4 separate regions of the Mus musculus genome follow, and regions 1, 2 and 4 are each reported to be linked to region 3. The links are microRNA targets in miRTarBase. Many come from high-throughput screens and were not tested one by one. Region 3 holds a microRNA gene; each other region holds the end of a gene's coding sequence.
What was found. Region 3 holds the annotated microRNA mmu-miR-127-3p (UCGGAUCCGUCUGAGCUUGGCU, at 1,473-1,494, shown strand). A microRNA usually pairs through its seed, bases 2 to 8, with sites in the 3' UTR of a target mRNA and lowers its output. Matches are read on the target gene's strand: a 7mer-m8 pairs with bases 2 to 8, a 7mer-A1 pairs with bases 2 to 7 and ends in A, and an 8mer does both.

Region 1: the mRNA of Bcl6 is a reported target of mmu-miR-127-3p. The part of its 3' UTR that is shown has no 7-base or 8-base seed match.
Region 2: the mRNA of Utp6 is a reported target of mmu-miR-127-3p. Seed matches in the 3' UTR shown: 8mer at 833-840.
Region 4: miRTarBase lists Acat1 as a target of mmu-miR-127-3p. Seed matches in the 3' UTR shown: 8mer at 1,296-1,303.

What each region holds. Positions count from the first base shown.
Region 1 is chr16:23,963,405-23,966,524 of GRCm38, forward strand. Bcl6 (B cell leukemia/lymphoma 6) reads right to left here. Exons shown (of 10, transcript NM_009744.4): 10 at 1,646-2,864. The coding sequence ends at 2,721. Among named protein-coding and RNA genes, the nearest start is that of Gm31527, 23 kb to the right of the region's middle.
Region 2 is chr11:79,933,196-79,936,315 of GRCm38, forward strand. It overlaps Utp6 (UTP6 small subunit processome component), which reads right to left. Exons shown (of 19, transcript NM_144826.3): 19 at 761-2,914. The coding sequence ends at 2,760. Among named protein-coding and RNA genes, the nearest start is that of Utp6, 28 kb to the right of the region's middle.
Region 3 is chr12:109,591,416-109,594,535 of GRCm38, forward strand. It overlaps Mir127 (microRNA 127), which reads left to right and starts at 1,431; the gene lies at 1,431-1,500. Rtl1 (retrotransposon Gaglike 1) reads right to left here. Exons shown (of 2, transcript NM_184109.2): 2 at 1-3,120. 6430411K18Rik (RIKEN cDNA 6430411K18 gen) reads left to right here and starts at 122. Exons shown (of 1, transcript NR_002848.3): 1 at 122-1,436. It overlaps Mir433 (microRNA 433), which reads left to right and starts at 300; the gene lies at 300-423. It also overlaps Mir434.
Region 4 is chr9:53,579,980-53,583,099 of GRCm38, forward strand. It overlaps Acat1 (acetyl-Coenzyme A acetyltransferase 1), which reads right to left. Exons shown (of 12, transcript NM_144784.3): 12 at 543-2,686. The coding sequence ends at 2,566. Among named protein-coding and RNA genes, the nearest start is that of Acat1, 29 kb to the right of the region's middle.

The sequences.
Region 1 (3,120 bases), not on the chromosome of region 3:
TTATTATAGCAAAAGAAAGTGAACGGAAGCCAAAGCTAATACACCTTCCTCAATACACACTTCAACCTGCGGTCCTAGTAAACCTTTCCCTCAAAAACTTCCATGATGCAGAGAGTCTTAAACACATCCTAGTGTTTGAGACACCTTTGTGTGTGTGTGTGTGTGTGTGTGTGTGTGTGTCTGTCTGTCTGTGTGTGTGTCTGTGTCTGTGTGTGTCTGTGTGTGAAAATGCATTCACTCCATGATTTTGTAATAAAATTCTCTCTCCCCTTTGCTGTGGGCTATACTCTTAATAACTCCGTTTAGAGATGTTTCCCTTTTACTTATTATTAATCATCGGCTGACTGCAGTAGCTCAGTCTTTGATCTCCCTTTTGTCGGAACGCCACCCTCCCCGTCTGCTCCTCCGTCTCCCTCATAAATAGGAATGGTACAAAAACAGACTCTCGGGAGCAAAAGGAGCCTGAGGCCAGCTTCCCTCAGGCCCGTGAATTGTCATTCCTGAAGCTGTCTAGTCCGTAAGTTCTTCTGCCAGGTTTCTATGGGAGCTGAGGGATCGGTTTCCCCCTTTTCAAAGAGCAGGGTGAGTTGAGGCCTCGAGCTGGCAAGTCCTTTAAAGTCATTTTCAAAGGAAACCCGAGCTGCAAGGCCTTGCGGTTGGCAGAAGGTGGCGTGACTTTCTGAAGCTCTCTTGGGACTTCGGGTGGGCAACTCCCCTAGCTTCTCAACACGTGCCCAGAGACGGCAGCAACACCACTGCCAGGAGCTGACCAGTAAGTAGGCACGTGTTCCCTCCCCACTGCCACCCAGGAACAGGAAGGGGACGCAGGCTTTCTCTTCTGGGCCCATTACCAGAACCACACTTGTCTCCCCAGTTCTCAGATCCTGTCAATCATACTTGGTCCTTGGGGTTTTCTGAGGTAAAATATCCACGGGTGCCAAAGCAGGCCAGCGTGAACTTACATCTGAATCACGGATGCATAAATGGTCTCGTTAATCCAGTCTACTCTTGGATGGGCTGGGACAGAGACCCACAGCAAAAATAGCGACCTGACGCACACAGGAGGAGGTGGCTGAGTTCTGACACTGGGGTAGAGGCTTGCTTGGCCTCTGGCCAATCATAAAGCTTTCAAGTCTGTGAATGTCTGTCGGTCACCCAGGAGGCTCTGAATGCGTGGATGCCGAGAGATGTGTGTGGCTTCAGCCGGATGCCTTTGACCTGCCAGGCGTAGCCAAGTAAAGAAAATATGTTTCTAAAGCCAGAGCCAGGATGGGACTTCTTACTTTAGAAAAGAATAATCCCAGAGGTGGGAGAGGCTATGACTCGTTAGAGGTTGGAGAGACTATGACGTTTGTGTCTAAAGAACAAGGACTGCAGTTATTAAGAGTGAGGCTTGGAGCTGGGTCAGATACCCTACTTGACCTCCAGGCCTAGTGTCTGGGCTCTGTAGCTGATCCTGGTGTTCAGGATCAAAATAGGCAGGAAGCTACCTGGACAAGCCCCAGTCTGGCTCTCAGGCCAAGCTCCTCTCTCATACCTCACTGGCCAGCGGGCCCCACTCCCACGCCCCTAGAACATTTCCCACCGAAGCAAAGACCACTCTGATCTCTCTCCATGCAAAGACAGATCCTCAGAAAGAGCCAGCTCGACTTTTCAATGTTTTATTCTTATGTTTTGTACAGCTCTATTTTACAACGCACTAATGCAGTTTAGACACAGCCAAACCCTGTCTCCGGAGTAATTATAACGACAAGCATGACGCAGAATGTGGGAGGAGTCAAACATTCCCAAAGAGAGTTTAGTTAGTGACAACTTCAAGTCCCTGTGTCTGCCTACACTTCAAAAAGGGATGGCGCACACCCGTCCATCATTGAAAACTTCCGTGTAAAAAGGCACCGTGAGGACACATTACAGGTATGTACAAACTGAAAACTGGAACAAAAGTATACATTTCTCCTTCTGCAGCTTTTTTTTTTGTTCTTTTTGTTTTTAATACACACTTTGTAAATTTGTAAACCTTCACTTGCAAAAAAATACAAATACACGGAGGCATTTTAGACAAAATATTTTCTTACTTATACAGACGCAATACTTAAAATAGTCTCTTAAGTGCTCTTTCTCAATAAAGATTCTCAGATCCGTGTCTGCCTGCAGATACAAAATCGAGCCTTTAACACAGTTTTATATTTTCAATATATCTTTTTAGGTTTATATATTTATATTATATATATATATATTTATATATTTACAACTCTGCCATATATTCCTTCACCTTTGGTTAAAAAAATTAAAGCCTTCTCTTTGACAGCATACTGAAGTCTTGTCTTTTAAAACAATACACATTTACATACAAAAGAGACCTCTGTTCCCACACATCATTTACATTCCTCGGTTGCAACCTGTCAAGTCAGAACTTCTGCATTCTCCCCTACTTTGATATAGAAAATGAATTTGCTTTTTGCTGACAGGGTTTGCCTTACACATAGGAGAAGAAGCAATAGTATTTTCTTAATGTTTTATGGCAGTGTGGGAAGGGGAGCTGCCTTGGCTCCCGGTCCCGCAAACCCCACCCCCACCCCCACCCCAACTATGATTTGCACTAGTGGATGAGAGAGGCACTACATCATGGGATGACCTTTGTATAAAGTGTTACAGCATCCTTTGGGTAGATTCTGAGAAGGGGCTGGAGAGGAAAGGGCGAGGAACACTCCATGCTTCATTCAGCAGGCTTTGGGGAGCTCCGGAGGCAGGTCAGCGGCCGACACGCGGTATTGCACCTTGGTGTTGGTGATGGCGCCGTGCTTCTGGCGCAAATGAAGTCGCAGTTGGCTTTTGTGACGAAAGTGCAGGTTACACTTCTCACACTGAAGAGACAGCAGAAGCCAAGTGTTAGCTGTCATCCACTCGAGAAACGAGTCAGTGCTCAAAAGCCCAGAAGAGAGGCAACTCCGTGAGGGTTGGGTGCAGGCACCTCCTCCCTCTCAAAGGGCAGATTTAGAATCCATACAAATCTTGGCTTCCACTGGAGGTTAGGTATACACTGTGCAAATGCCCCAGCCTCCCCTTCAGCTCACGGGTCCCTCGGACTTAAGATGTCCTTCCCTGACTTAAATGCATGAT
Region 2 (3,120 bases), not on the chromosome of region 3:
AAAAAAAACCACAGTAAAGGTTCAAAAATGCACCATATATTCTAACATGCATAAGGATTCAATATATACTAAGGGTCTGAAGGTCGTATGATGAACCAAGAAGAGAACAAACAGATGGGCTACCCAGTGCTACAGAAGTTAGTCAACTGCTTGAGGAAGAGATCCAGTTGTACTAAGCAAGAGGAGAAACTGAAAAGGCCGTTAAAACTAAGGGTGGAGCTGGCGAGGTGGCTCAGCAGTTAAGAGCACTGGCTGCTCTTCCAAAGGTCCTGAGTTCAATTCCCAGCAACCACATGGTGGCTCATTTAACCATTATGTGATATGCCTTCTTCCAGCATACATGTGTGCATGCAGATAGAGCACTCATATATATAAAATAAATAAATATTATCTTAAAATCAAAATCAACACCTGAGGGTATAGCATGGAAGCGTGTTCACATAGCATGTGTGAGGTCATAGATCTGATCAGTACTGGGGAGAAGGGACAGAGTCACAAAAAAATTTGGCCGGGCATGGTGGTGCACGCCTTTAATCCCAGCACTCGGGAGGCAGAGGCAGGCGGATCTCTGAGTTCGAGGCCAGCCTGGTCTACAAAGTGACTTCCAGGACAGCCAGGGCTACACAGAGAAACCCTGTCTCATAAAAACCAAAACAAAACAAATCTTCCCGCATCAAAAACAGCAAACAAAGGGAAGAGAAGCATAAACTTATCTGTAAGAAATGAACGACAAACAAAAGATTAACATTCTCAATGAGTTGTTTTTTTAAAGATTTATTTATTCATTTTATGTCTATGACTACACTGTCTTCAGACACACCAGAAGAGGATATCGGATCCCATTACAGATGGTTGTGAGCCACCATGTGGTTGCTGGGAATTGAACTTGGGACATCTGGAAGAGCAGTCAGTCTTAACCGCTGAGCCATCTCCCCTGGCTCTCTCAATGTATTTTTAAGACAAAAATTAATAAGAAAAAGTAGCTTAAGTGATGATGTACCGCTTTCATCTACTGAGTGGTGAATTATAAAATGATGAAAAGGAAGTACGTAATCCCCAGTGCAGACAAGGGCGTTGCCTCCTGCATGTGATGCTGGAAAGAGCAAATTGGCAAATTTTGTTCTTTTACCTAATTCAGTAATTCCACTGTCAAGTAAGTCCCCTAAGGAAGTGCCAGTGAATGTAACCAAAGATTGACAAGAATCTTCACCAATATCGTTTATACTTTTAAAAAACTATAGCCACAGGAGATTAATTAAGACAAGGGAATGCTATGAATTCATTAGGTGTTTTCCATGTTATTAAATGAACTTAATATTAATTAAGGCTTACTATTAAGTAACTTGTTCAAAATACTTTCCCAATGATATCAAAATGTTAAGGTCCAGCTGTTGAGGCCTGTAACCTCAGCCACTTGAGAGGCTGAGGCAAGAGCATTCAAAGTTCAAGGCCTGCCTAGACCTGAGAACTTTTCAGGCCAGCCAAAACTTAGTGAGACCTGCTCAAAACAGAAAATAAAAAGATGCCTGGGGTCTGTCTCAGTGGTAAAGCTCTTGCCTCAAATGCAAATTTAGGTTTATCACAAACAAACAAATACCCAGTATCAAAAAAAATGAAAGGATTTATTTCAGCTTCCTCCCTTACTCCCCAAATGCCCTCCTTTGTGCCAATCTGCCCCTCCACCCCCTACTGAGGCACTTCCCACTCCCTCCCCCGCCACAAAGCTGGGCATCCTCCATGCCATTCTTGGCCTGTCCATCCTTGGGGTAAATCGTTTCCTGTGCCACCTCAACCTTCTTAAAAGACAAACTTCTCCCAATACCCAGCGCCTCCTTCTCTGTCACTCATCTTCCAAGTCTCCCTTTTTCCTGCAGGTGAAGGAAGGCGCTATTTCTTGAATGATTGATTTAAAAGTACAGATCCAATTCAGATACAGGAAAAGAAGTCACTGTTCAGCCTCACTTCGGTGATCTAAGTGACTTTCTGCTCTGCTCTGCCCTAGTGTTGGGATAATCTTGGGCACTGTAAAGGCTGTCTTTGTAGTATTCAGTGTTGATTTTTGAACCAGTAGAGTACTGTCCGGACTTTGGTACTGTTATTTTTATGAAGCATCACCTGCATCGAAGATTGTACACATTCTCCTCTATCACTTCTGATTTGTTTGATAAACAGCTGATGGCTGGGCAGGAGAGTAAAGGTGGGACATCCAAGAAGAGATCGGAACTCTGGGAAGAATTGAGAGGTGGGAGATCTGCCGGCCAGACTTGGAACTTGAATGTACGGGGCTGAGGAGAGGTGATCAGCCAGGTGGTAAACATGGCTAAGCCATAAGGACTAAGCTTTCATAAATAAAGTCTCTTAATCAGTATTCGGGAGCTGGAGGGTTGAGGCAGTCCATCCACACCCTCGTCCCTCCTATCTCCACAGGTATCATGCAGGCTTTCACAACAAGAAGAGAACACACAAAACTATACTTTCTCTTGGGTTTGAACTGGGTCCCTCACACCTAGTCTAGATTAGAGCTGTATATGCTTAGCCTGGAACAAGAATTGAAGCTGAATCATATGATTTCTGTGTATTTTAGATTTAACAGGCACTAGCAGTACTCATTTCTGGAACCAAAGATTAACACCAAGTAAAAGTATGTTACAAAAATCAATCCGTTCTTCTGCCAGCTCTCGACAATTCACACACCAGCTCATCACAAACCTGCCCCGAGACTTGCATCACAACTTCAGCCAACTGGTGGTGCTCGACCACTAGTGGCCAGCCTGGTGCATGGCGTGTTTAGCTACAAACAGCTCTGCTGACTGTCCCTGCAACATTTTCATGGCTCGCCAATAGATCTGTCCGCAGTTCTCAGGTTTACCGAAGGGATGGTTCAATTCTTCCTTGATGTAATCCATCCAAAGATCTTCAAAAGGAACCAAAAAACTACTGTAAACGTAGCTAGAAAACTGGGAAGGCTTTAATTAAGCAAATTTAACTATTAATACTAAGCCAGTTAAAAAGTTCTGAGAAACTTCCGCACATAAAATTAAGAGAATGTAAATATATATGAATAAAATAAGGTACTCTGACACATTTAAGCACTGTGTAGTGTTAAAGTTCAGCCTATCT
Region 3 (3,120 bases):
CTTCTTCTTCACCATCTTCCTCCTCCTCCCCTTCTTCTTCTTCACCATCTTCCTCCTCCTCCCCTTCTTCTTCTTCACCATCTTCCTCCTCCTCTTCTTCATCATCCTCTTTATCCTCAGTCTCAGAGGATCTGTCAAAGTACCTTAGATTTGCCCTAATGGACATAAGCAGCAGTGGGCGCAGAAACCTTGCTCTGAAGCCTCTCTGGTTCCAACATCTGCGGAAGAGTGCTTGTGTGTCACCTTCAGCTGGCATCTCCATAACACCAAAATTGAAGTGTGAGAAGAAGAAGACCCAATGCCCGGGGAGAAGTACGGTGAGCCTGTCATTATTCAGAGAGGCTAGATCCTCTGTGTTGAGAAGGATCATGATGGGCTCCTCGGTGTTCTCCAGGTAGCGGCACCACACCATGAAGGCAGCCCGGATTGGAAGGATCCTCATCTCCACTCGAGGGTACTCCACCTCCATTGTAGAGAGGGGTCTTGAATAGAAAGCACAGGTAGATTTCTTGCCAGTTTCGTCGTCGGTTTGGACCAGGGAGGCAGACAGGAATGACCCAGTGATGTCTGTTTCCAAGTAGAATGGGTTCTGAGGCTTAGGGTGATAGAGAACGGGCGACTTGCGGAAAGCCCTCTTCAGGGATTCCAAGGCCTCCTGCTCCTCTTCTCCCCAGTAGTAGGGCTCTGAACTCAGCAGTTGTCTCACTAGGGGTGCTGCGATGACAGCGAAGTTCTCCACGAAGTGGCGATAGGGATAGACAAGGTCAATCACACTTTGAAGACACCTCCTGCTGCCAGGGACAGGGCACCCCACGATGAGGTTCATAAGGTTCTTGTTCAGTTTCACCCCTTTGGGGGATATGTTGAAGCCCAAGATTTCAGCGGTCTGGCGATGGAACTGAGTTTTGTCCAGTGAACAGTAGATGTTGTGATACCGAAAGCGGACCAGGACTTGGCGGACATGCTGGGAGTGTTCCTCCTGGCTCATTGAGTAGACCAGGACCTCTCTGCCATGGCAAATCACAAACAACCCTAGGATGTCTTTTAGGATGAAGTGAACAATGTTGTTCCCTTCGTCAGAGTATGAGTTCATTGTGAAGGGCCGGTAGCATCTCATCTGGTGAAGGCCGAAACCGAACGATGCTCTCCAAGTGTCTTCCGTGTGTGTGACCGTGTGCCTCATCTCACTTTCCTTAATCCCAAGCAGCTCCAGTTTTGTGAACCATGCCGCTCCATGTAGCTGGTCGAATAGCTCTGGTACCATCTGCGTGTAGTCTTGTCTGTCAGTCAGCATGTCATACAGTATCCAGTATTCCTCTTGCTCCCTGGCTTTCTCTTGCTGCCTGGCTTTCTCTTGCATCCTGGCGCTCACAGGTTCCAAAGTCTCTCGGGCCCCAGACTCGTAAAAGACGCCGCTTTGATCACTGTCTCCAGCCTGCTGAAGCTCAGAGGGCTCTGATTCAGAAAGATCATCGGATCCGTCTGAGCTTGGCTGGTCGGAAGTCTCATCATCTGCCTCCCTCGGGTTAAACACGTCGGCCAGGTCTGAGTATGTGTGTGGCAATCCGGGCAGTAGGCTTATGCTGTATGTCTCTAGTGCGATGCATGGTGGAGGTGGGGTGAAGCAATTCCGCAGACAGTAGGGAGAGTGGAAGGTACACCGGCCTCTCATCCAGTCGACTTCAGGGGCATGGGTTCGGAGCCACTTCATGCCTAAGACGATGGAGAAGTTGGGCGAAGGTAAGATGTCAAATTCGATGTACTCATAATGCTTCTGGTGGACACATACCAGGGGCTCGGTGCACAGCCAGACGGGTTCATTGCCAATTGGGATGCCATCCACACCTTGGATTATCTGTGGATAAGGCTTCTCATAGAGTTCCACATAGTGTTCCTGGGCAAACCTCTCATCCATGTAGTTCCCTTCTGCTCCTGAGTCCACCAGGGCCCGCACTGCGACACTGTGGTAGGGGTCCACTCTCACCAAGAGCAGTAAGAAGAGGTGATCGCGATCAATGTCTGGGTGGAACTCATTGGGCAGCCAGCTGCTTACCCTCCACTTCTCTGGGGCGGGAGCATCCATCCAGGCTACGCTTCTTGGGCGCGACTCAGGTGGCAGCCTGAGTAATGCTCTTCTCTCTGCCAGCTTTTCTTCAAGTTGCAGGACAAGTACAATCAGGTTGTCTAGGGAATTCGGCTGAGGGATCCGGAACAGATAGTGCCTGATCTCTTCGTTGAGCCCCTGGCACAGGTGGGCCTGCAGGACTTCATCTGGCCAGCCTAAGGTGGGTATCAGACCCCGGAACTCATTGATGTAATCGGCCGCACAGCGGTTCCCCTGCCTGATGTTGAACATGGCGTCTTCCGCCACACGCAGGGTCTGCCGATACTCAAACTTTTCTGACATGGCCTCCAGGAAGGCTGAGAAGTTGTTTATCACTGGGCTGTTCTGCTCTACGAGGTCGTTGGCCCATTCCAAGGCTAGGTCAGTCAGGTGGCGGATGACGAATTTCACCCGCAGCTCATCATTGTATAGCATACTTGGGTAGTTCTGCATTGTCATCTGGCAGAGCACGACAAACTCATGGTAGTCTCTGCGATCTCCAGAGAAGGGCCTGAGGGAGGGCAGGCGACCTTCGTTGATAGCCTGCATCATGAGCCTTTCTGCCACTCTCTGTTGTTCTTTTAGGTCTTGCATCCGGAGGAACAGCGAGATGACGTTCCCCATGGTGGCCACGACTTCTTCTGGAGAGTTCTTGGGCTGACCTTCCTCTTCACCACCTTCCTCTTCCTCCTCTTCCTCGTCATCTCCCAGGTCAGTATCATCTTGGTCTGACTGGGTCTCGGATGAGTTGATTGTTTCATCCATGCTATAATCGGATGCCTCACTGAGTGGTTCCGACCCTTCCTGGTTTGAAATATCACTTGACTGGTTTGAACTGTCGCTTGACTCCTGGTTCGAATTATCGCTTAACTCCTGGTTTGAATTATCACTTAACTCCGGGTTTGAATCATAGCTTGACTCCTTTTGTGAACCATCGCTGGACTCCTGGTTTGAACCACCGCTTGACTCCAGGTTGGAAACATCGCTCGACTCTGGGTTTGAACCAAAGCTCGACT
Region 4 (3,120 bases), not on the chromosome of region 3:
GTGAGTATTTCATTCTGTAGACTGTCTTTCCATTCTATTAGCTTTACTGTGCTGAGCTTTCAATTTTGTGTAATCCCATTTCTCAGTTCTTGCTCAGCTTTCCTGGGCTGCTGGAATCCTGGTCAGTATTTGTTCTATTCCTGTATTGTTCCTGTTTTCCTGTAGAGTTTCAAGGCTTCAAGTCATAAATCAACATCTTACCTTCTTTGATCCATTTTAAAACTGTTTTTTTGTACAAGGTGAAAGTAAAAGTAATTTGAGGGATTTCTTATGTCCCTGTTGCTCCCAAATAACTTCAGGGCATTGCTGTGCCACCTCTAGCCCATTTTAGCTCCCAAATAAATGAAACAGAGACATGGTATTTTTATTAACAAGCTGCATACACTATGCTGAGCAGGTTCTGAGCTGTTCTAACTCTAAGGCTGCCTGTTTCCCAACCATGTGGTCCTTTACCTTCAGCCTGAGTCTTGTCTTTGCTCTTTCTTTCCTCATGACTTTGTGAACCTTCCTGGTTCATCCACATCTGTAACTTTAATGTTTTTCAACACCCATTTTTAATGATGGTTCTTGAACGCTTTAACATCCCTTTTGGCCCACCTCCCACTAGAGGTAGTGGGAAATACCAGTGAAGACTCCAGACCCACAAGTGTTGCACAGCTAGGTATATAAGCAAGCCCAACCAAACCTCCGTCACTGTCTGCTGGGCCTAACATCACAGGCCTCTAAACATCCCAAGTCCTCTGCGGGCCTGGGTCTTGTCTCAGCATGAGCATCTGTCTCGCTGACATCACTTTGCCAATCAGCCCGAGTCCATTGAAGAGGTACGAAACTGCAGCACACCACAAGTTTTTTGGATCGTTTCTCGGTTCGTTTCTCTCTATGGAGTCTCTACTCCACCTCCTTCCCTGCTTGTTTCTGTAGTGCAGGGATAGAAAGAAAGAACCCAGGGCTTTAGGTCTGCTGGGCCAACACTACCGACTGAGCTACCTCCCCAGTCCTCTTCTGTCTTCTTGGTGATTGTTCCCTTCATTGATGTTTAGTGACATTCTTTGTCTTCTCTGACAAGCTGCTTCAAACCTAGCTTTTATAACTGACGGACAAAGCTACACCTACTTGATTTTGTGCTACTTGAGAGCACGTGGCTTCCCATTCTGCCACTTTTAGTCTATGAGTCTTTGCCAATGAGGTCTCTTGTAAGACAATACTTTGTTGATCTTTTCAAGAGAGAATTTTTTTCTCTGTGTAGTCCTGGCTGTCTTGGAACTCATTATGTACACCAAGCTGGCTATGTAGACTCGGATCCTCCTGCCTCTTCCTCCCAAGTGCTGGGATTTAAAGGCATGCACACCCAGTGGATCATGTTTTTGAGATAGTATTTTTAAATTTTATGTTGAGCCCATTAAAAGTTTGGGCTGAGGATATTTTCTCATTACAGTAATTCTGTTGATTCTCTGGCTGGCTTGAATACTATTTTTTCTTCCTTCCTCATTCTATAGCTCTTCTGGTTTACTGAGTTGGGCATGGTCTGTCTCTCTCCTGGCTCTCAGTTCCTCTCCTGGAATGTATTCTTTGTTGTGCTCTTAGGTCTGTGACTGCTGCTTCCTGCTCTGTTTTGTTTGCAGGACTCCTTTAAAGAGCTTCTATGTTGGCTTGGTGGACATAGATTGCTATAACTTGTGCTCACTTGGAAGACTTAACCATATTTTTTAAAATTTTCATTCACATAACTTTATTTGAAACCAATTTTGACTGTCCAAGGATTAAAGTTCGAAAACAAAACAAAACATAAACAGCCAGTGTTCATTCTAATGGCAGAATAGAAGTCCATGGATGTTAGATTATTTTGGGGCTTGGGAGAGTCAAGGAACTTTGTTGCTGCTATTGTGATATTCTCATTTCTTTGGTGTATTTAGATGTAAAAATGCTGGAACTTTACCCTGCCTTCATCAGGAGAGAACCCGGTTACAGGTTATCCCCAAGGCTGGCTTCTGCTGTACCGGCAGCAGTGAGGTAGAAAAGCACAGGACCTCATTTCTCTGGTTTCTGCGTGCAGTGCAGTGTCCAAGTCCTCCCTGCTGTGTCACCCAGTGTGGGTCCTGGGAACCAAATGTTTTCTGTGTGAGCAACAGATGCTCTTTTGTTCGTTTGTTTGTTTCCAGAGTTTCTACTTCTATGTGTATTCTTGGCTGTCATAGAAGTAGCTCTGTGGACCAGGCTAGCCTTAAACTCAGAAAGATCCACTTGCCTCTATCTCCAAGTGCTGGGATTAAAGCCATGTACCACCCAACTAGCAACAAATTCTCTTAACTGCTGAGCCATGCCTCAAATACCTATATTGGTATTTCAAATAATAGAGTATCCAACTGTTTAAGTTTACAAAAAAATAAAATAAAATAAAGAAGAAATTTTTATTTGTAATTTAAGTGTGTTTTTTGGATATGATTTTTTAAAAATTTTAGTAGAAAATAATAAAAAATGAAATAGCTTATGCTGAATATAACCTGGCCCAAGGGAGTCACATTTACTTCAGCCGGTCACATGGAACTGTCTCCTAAAACAGGTTGTCTACAGCTTCTCAATCAGCAGGGCGGAAGCACCTCCTCCTCCGTTGCAAATACTAGCCAGACCGAACTCTCCTGGCTTCAGGGCATGAGCCATATGAACAACAATCCGGGCTCCAGACATCCTAGGATTAAGAAAGCATTTGGTTCTTTAATCAAGAACAGAATTTAGGACTAACCAGAGAAGTTTCTATTCCAAACTAACTGCCTGAAAATCCAGTACTTGTGGGTAAGTACTTTTAAGTTTAGACAATGAATTTCAAGAAGTGAGTGATAACTCTTATAAAAACCTGAACTTTTTTACTCAACGCTGTTAGTGTCCCGGACAGTTTTATGTCAACTTAATACAATCTATAATCATCTGAGAGGAGGGAGCCTCAATTGGGAAAATGTCTCCCTAAGATCACGCTGTATAAAAGCCTATAGGATACTTTCTTAGTTACTGATGTGGCGGGCCTGGCCCCTTATGGTTGGTGCCATCTCTAATCTGGTGGTCCTGGGTTCTATACAAATCAGGCTGCAAGCAGTAAGCAGCACCCCTCCTCTATGGCTTCTTCAT